Kluyveromyces lactis: one gene and its partner. The protein of the gene in region 2 purifies or fractionates together with the protein of the main gene of each other region. This does not show direct contact. Links are inferred from orthologs where the notes say so. Each region holds a gene or a part of one and is shown on either strand. Other genes may lie near its edges.

What was found.
Region 1: the proteins of DBP10 (region 2) and NSA2 purify together in Saccharomyces cerevisiae (affinity purification with mass spectrometry; 3 studies listed by BioGRID). This does not show direct contact. The link is inferred for Kluyveromyces lactis from reciprocal best matches to the Saccharomyces cerevisiae genes DBP10 and NSA2.

What each region holds. Positions count from the first base shown.
Region 1 is NC_006041.1:1,205,334-1,208,107, reverse strand, and holds NSA2 (rRNA-processing protein NSA2), read left to right. Parts: upstream 1-1,488; coding exon 1,489-2,274; downstream 2,275-2,774. Other genes in the region: small subunit rRNA maturation protein LCP5, read right to left, coding at 74-1,261. UniProt on the Saccharomyces cerevisiae protein: Involved in the biogenesis of the 60S ribosomal subunit. May play a part in the quality control of pre-60S particles. Under normal, rapid growth conditions, high levels of NSA2 would allow the progression of pre-60S particles through the ITS2 processing.
Region 2 is NC_006042.1:2,294,830-2,298,896, forward strand, and holds the start of DBP10 (ATP-dependent RNA helicase DBP10), read right to left. Parts: upstream 2,801-4,067; coding exon 1-2,800. Other genes in the region: SLM3 (tRNA-5-taurinomethyluridine 2-sulfurtransferase), read left to right, coding at 3,395-4,067. UniProt on the Saccharomyces cerevisiae protein: ATP-binding RNA helicase involved in the biogenesis of 60S ribosomal subunits and is required for the normal formation of 25S and 5.8S rRNAs.

The DNA of each region.
Region 1 (2,774 bases), on a different chromosome or scaffold from region 2:
ACACTATATGATGACAATAGAGACGTATGGATATTTTAGCCTATTTATACATAGAAAAAGAAGGACCTCAGGTTTACAACTTCTTCTTGGCTCTTTCCCAAGCATTTCTAGATTTCTTATTACCTCTTCTGCTTGTACTATCCTCCAACTTACGCTTGGAGTTGAAGATACTGAAATCTTCACCGGCGATCATATTAACCTTGGCCATGATTTCTCTTTGTTTTTTCATTCTCTTGTCAGTCTTGGATCCGTTGGGGTTCAATCTAGTGAAATTTTCTTCTTCGAATCTTTGAACATCACGTTCACGTTCTGTATCTCTTGCTGTCTTCACACCACCTCTACCATGGTTGACGATATTGGCACCGATAGAAGTTTCCCATTCCGGTTGTTCCGAGGAATCCTTCAAGTATTCTTCCATAGCTTGCATACGAGACCTGCTACTCTTATCCTTATGTTCTTGTGCGTTGAATTTATCCTCGAAGTGATGTTGCTTTGGTGGCAGAACGGCACTGATCTTAGGTGGTCTATAAACGTTATCTTTATCATCCACATCTTCTTCATTGTGAGTACTCTTGACAGCGATTTTCCCCTTGGCTTTCCCTCCAACTGATGTGTTATTGACCATTCCTGAACTGTTCGGCCTATATTGCATCTCTTCTTCACTATCAGAATCTGAGTCTGATACTTCTTCCTGGGAAGCACGTACGTCACTCAGTCCCTGCAATTCGGCTCTTTTCTTGGATTCTTCAACGTCTTTCTCCAGTCTAATGTACGCCCGCGTCAATTTATCCAGCTGGTACCCTAACTTCTTCTCCAAGGGCTTCACACCTCTTTCAAGAACAACTCGTTGTTCCACTGCCCTGACTCTACCCTCATCAACAACCATCTCTTTATTCAATTTCTGTCCCAATACCAACAGAAGCGAATTCAAATACGATAGCATACTCCCATTCTTCAAAGAAAGTAGAGAAACTTTTTCTAATTTATCACCTTTGTGACCTACCACCGCTGAACCTTGGAAAGGATGGGTCTCCTCATCATCATAGACTTCTTCTAACTTATCCAAGCTTTCTCCACAAGATTTCAAAGAATCTCTAATCGTTTTCAAAACAGTTCCTAACTCCTCAGACATGGCTATATTTCCGCTGTAACCCTTGTCAATAGAATGTAATGAGGTTTTATACATCAATAACAGTAGATCGAACCTATGCCAAACCCACACCAGACAACCAAACTTGTATCTGGCTGATACCCATCTCATCTCATCTCATCGCTTGATTCCAAATTTTTTTTTTCACTACGTTTCTTTTCGACATTTCCTATTGAATTTTTTTCTTTCAATGAGAAAAGCATACAAAGACAACTTGAACAACTAGCTCATCGCATGGGTTAACATGTGGTAAGAAGTCCATTCAAGGAGTCCGTGTGTCCGTTTGTGATTTAGAAGTAAGTCATCACCGAACAAGTCGTTCTTACAATAAAACAAAGATGCCTCAAAACGAATATATCGAACAGCACATCAAGCAACATGGTCGTAGATTAGACCACGATGAGAGAAAACGTAAGAGAGAAGCCCGTGAGGCTCATAAGATCTCTGAAAAGGCTCAGAAATTGACTGGTTGGAAGGGTAAGCAATTTGCTAAGAAGCGTTATGCTGAGAAGGTTGCTATGAAGAAGAAGATCCGTGCTCATGAGCAGAGTAAAGTTAAAGGAGGGTCCAAACCGTTGGATGAGAACGGGGAGGCTTTGCCTACTTATTTGTTAGACAGAGAACAGAACAACACTGCAAAGGCTATATCCAGTTCCATCAAGCAGAAGCGTTTGGAGAAGGCTGACAAGTTTTCTGTTCCTTTGCCTAAGGTCAGAGGTATCAGTGAGGAAGAGATGTTCAAAGTTGTTAAGACAGGTAAGTCTAAGTCTAAGGCATGGAAGAGAATGATCACGAAACATACGTTTGTTGGTGAAGGGTTTACAAGAAGGCCTGTGAAGATGGAAAGGATTATCAGACCTAGTGCTTTGAGACAAAAGAAGGCTAATGTGACGCATCCGGAACTTGGAGTCACCGTTTTCTTGCCAATTCTTGCGGTGAAGAAGAATCCTCAATCGCCAATGTACACACAGTTGGGTGTATTAACCAAGGGTACTATTATTGAAGTGAACGTCTCGGAATTAGGTATGGTTACTTCTGGTGGTAAAGTGGTTTGGGGTAAATATGCTCAAATCACGAATGAGCCAGATAGAGACGGTTGTGTCAACGCTGTGCTACTTGTGTAAGAACAAGTACAACCTATTACTACCAAAATTCCTACTCATCTCAATTATTCCCTATTGCATCACCCCCCACTCCGCTACGTTATTGTATATTACTATTTCATTTTAGAACTGAGTTCCCTTATTAGAAAGTACTGGCTAAATCATCATTATTTAATCATATATTTAGCGTTAAATACTGAATTATAGCCAATGAGACTGACAATTTCATGCCTCGCTGCCGTTGAGATACCAGCTATTCCAATGCATTGAACTAATTGCTACTCACACGTCGTGTCAATTGACCTTCTGGACCCTCAGGTTACCCTAAGTATTCATCTTTATTGTTTCACAATAAAGTAGGGTACTACCCTACCAAATCATACCAAATAATTTTATCTATATATATATATATATTCAGTATTATACATACACATTCTTTGCGCTTGATATACACAAACTTACCTTCAAAACAGCACTTATTAGGTCAGATTCTAGCACTGGTCCATATACAGATACTAGCG
Region 2 (4,067 bases):
CCTTAACTCTAACACCTCTTTCCAAAGCAGCTTCCACTTTTTTCTTTTGGAAAGCGTAATCGTCTCTATGTTTATCAGGCAATTTAGGAGCTTTTTGAGTCTTGTGTTTGAATTTACCGCCAACCGTACGCTCCGATGGAGAAGTCGGATCAGCCAATAGATTCGATGGAATAGTGGATTCTCTTGCACCAACTTTGAGTGGAGCAATTTTTCTTGCCTTAGACCAATCTTGGAATTTTCCGGATCTGAAACTTGCAGGAATCTTTTGACCACTTTCTCCGATGATGTACTTTTTGTTGTCCAAACCTTGAGTGTTCACATATTTCTTACGCTTCTTGTCCCACTTAACCGTAGCTGTTTGCTTGTGAACTTGTACCTTGTCATCGTTGGCTAGATCAAATGCAGCATTGGAAGCATCATTTGTGAAACCAGATGATATCTGTAATTGTTTATCTTGAATGTCACTAGTTGGTGCGAAATGTGATAGATAAAAAGTTGGATCTCTGAAAGTTTTCTTCTGCTTCTTCTTAATATTTTCTTGCTCTTCTAACAAGACATCGGCATCTTCAAATTCTTTCAATACCTCATCAGGCACTGAGTAACCAACTTCGTTGTCTTCACCTTTCAAAATTTCATCTTCTATACTATGCCTCAAACCAATCATTCTCTCTTTTTCCAGAAGTTCTTGTCTTTCTTTTGCCTTCCTTTGAATTGGAGCTATTTGTCTCCTCCTTCTCTTCATTAACACAGACATTTCATCGTCTGGATTCCTTGCGAACTCGAATACAGTTTCCTTGTTATTTCTGTGTTGCAACTTAGCTAAGAAATCCAATTTCTCTTTTTCGGCGTTCTTACCGAAGTATATATTCTGTTCGTCCCATCCTGATCTGAGAATTTCCTTTGACCTTTTCATGGATTCAGCAGACGCTGGTGTCCTGGTTCTAAAGTAAAGTTTTTCGGCTTTCAGGGCAACACCTTTCACAGTATTTAACTCAAAGTCAGATTTGATCATATTGCTATAAAGGTCACCCATACCATCAATCTCAGAACGTGGACAAGCACCAAGGACCATTCTTGTGGTGTAAGAAACCTTAGGATCGGTGAAATTATTATTACCCTCAGATTCTGCCTTCTTTCTGAGTATCTGGCACGACGATTCATACATGGGTGTTAAAAGGATCTTCTTACCCAAGAATAATTCTAGATCCAAGAGATAAGGTAGTTCATTTTCAGAGACAATCGAAAAGGCCCAACCTCTATTACCAGCTCTGGCCGTTCTACCTACACGATGAATGAAAATTTTTGAAGAACCTGGCAAAGAGTAATTAATCACATTCGCTAACAAAGGAATGTCAACACCTCTGGCTGCCACATCTGTCACAACCAAGATAGATGTTAAACCAGCTCTAAAATTATAGAGCTGTTGCTTACGGGCATGTTGATTCAAAGCACCATAAATATATGATACTAGGTATCCACAGTTCTTCAATAACTGTGTGACGTATTCGACATGATGTCTTGTTGGAACGAAAACGATTGTTGCCTTTTCGGATGGCATTTCGTTCGCATTCGGTAAGCGCCTTTTGGATTTTTTAGCCTTCTTTGCCTTCTTTTTCTTTTCATCTTCGCTGTCATCACTGTCAGAATCCGCATCATTCTGCTGTTTGAGCTTCTTTATTTGGGACTCCGTGGCAACAGGCATCTTGATAGCTTCTTGTAACAGATATAATAGATTGGCTTCACGTTCATCCTTTTTTATAGATATAAATAACATCTCCAAATTTTCTGATATCTTCGTTTCAGCATCAAGTCTAACCAATACTGGGTTTGACAAGCCTGCCTTAGCAAAATCAACCAATGATGATGGCAATGTTGCCGAAAACAATAATGTTTGTCTATTAGTTGGGAATGCCACAAGCAGTTCATTCAGTTGTTCCTGGAAACCCATTTCGAATAATCTATCAGCTTCATCAAATACAACATATTCGACTGATTTCAAATCCAAGTTCATTTCAACTTTTAAATGCAAGAATCTACCTGGCGTAGCAATGACGACGTCAGGATTCCCCATCATCATACCGAATTGGTCTTCTAAAGAGTCACCACCTGTTAACAAAATAGAACGTAAATCCGAGCCTTTCGAAAACTCTTTGAAAACTCTATGAGTTTGAATGGCCAATTCTCTTGATGGTGATAAAATAACGGCTCTAACACCAATCTTGGCCGAATGGGTCTTTAATTTTTCTATCATAGGAAGCACAAAAGCAGCAGTCTTACCTGAACCGGTACGTGCCATACCGACAATATCACGCTTTTGTAAAATAAGGGGAATGGTTTTCCTTTGAATTGGTGTAGGTTGCCTGAAACCTTTCTTCGAGATATTAATCAATACTAGTTTTGAGAGACCGAAACTTGCAAACGAACCTTTCTTATGTTTAGCCGCAGCATCAGCGGTAGTGTTGAAATAATCGTTTAAGTCATCATCCGATTCATTCGTAGCCTTCTTTTCGTCGTCCGAAAGCTCAAGACTTGGGAACTTACTGTCCACAATGGGACCTGCCTTGACTTTGGCTTTCTTGTTTTGTTTCTTTGGTTTCTTCTCTTTCTCTTCCTCATCACTAGAAAACTCGATAACATCTTGAACTTCAGCTTGGAAACCAATATTGTCATTATCATCATCAGAAATGTCACTATCTTCACTATCAGCATTTAAAGCAATATCACCAGCAATGTCGAAAGCATCCTCATCTTCGGAGGAGTAATCTTCTGCTGGGAGAGCTCTTTTGCTAGAATCAACCATTACTGTTAAATTTGATTAACCTGAGTTCGATATCTAACAGTTGATTTATGGCAAACAATGATTGGCCTTATAATCAATACGATATAAAAGAATATTTAGCACTACTGATATTAATGAGTTACTATCTCATCTCATCTCATCTCATCGCATCTCTTATTTGGAAAGTGATGTATTTTCAAAATTTTCATAAGGAAAAAGAAATAGTTTTCAAGACCGGCATAAACAGAATTAAACATCAAACTGACGCTTTGTGTGAAACCAAGAAGATCAAGTGACCTAAAACAAAAACTTCAACATTATGTGTCACGAATATTACCAAACTCAAGTAAATAGAACGTCATACTCTAAAATTTTACTATAACTATTTCAACTTGTTTCCCTGAATTTCGCCTCTGTACATTATCTTGGTTTTTTTTTTTCTATGCAAGCCAATCAATTCAGTATCTGACAAAAAAAAGTACATGAAGATCACAACTATAACTTCTCAAGGTTTACTGAAATAAGTACCAGCTATATCTTGTTAAAGCACCATAAAAGTGTCCCGAAGGAGATGCACCACTTTATATAGCAGACGGACAGAAGTTGCGAGGAATAATGTCGAAAATCACTTCAAGATTCTTAGAATTATGCAAACAAAGACGGTTGCCTGGATATCATGTCCAATCCATGCCATCTAAATTTGATAATATTGTGGTAGGAATGTCTGGTGGAGTAGATTCTTCTGTATGTGCTGCATTATTCGCAGCTTACCCGAACGTTCATGGAGTATATATGCAAAATTGGGGCAAAGATCAATCATTGACTAGACCAGAGGAGGATCCATGTTATGAGAAAGAATGGAAGGATGCAGAAAAAGTAGCGAAACATTTGAACATCCCAGTGGAGTTTGTGAATTTTGAGAAAGATTATTGGCTAAATGTGTTCGCGCCTATGTTAGAACAATATAGTATGGGCTATACACCAAATCCTGACATCGGTTGCAATCAGTTTGTTAAATTCGGAAAGTTGATGGATCATCTGGATGTGAAGTTCGGTAAGAACAACTACTGGTTGGTGATGGGACATTATGCTCGAATACTACGAAGAGATAGTGGTCCAGAGAGATCTGAACCACACTTGATGCGCGGATTGTATCAACAGAAGGATCAAAGTTATTATTTATCACAAGTTTCTGTTCCTTCTTTAAATCAAATGATTTTACCAATTGGTCACTTGACGAAACCGGAAGTTAGAGAGATGGCCAAAGAAGTAGATTTACACACTGCCA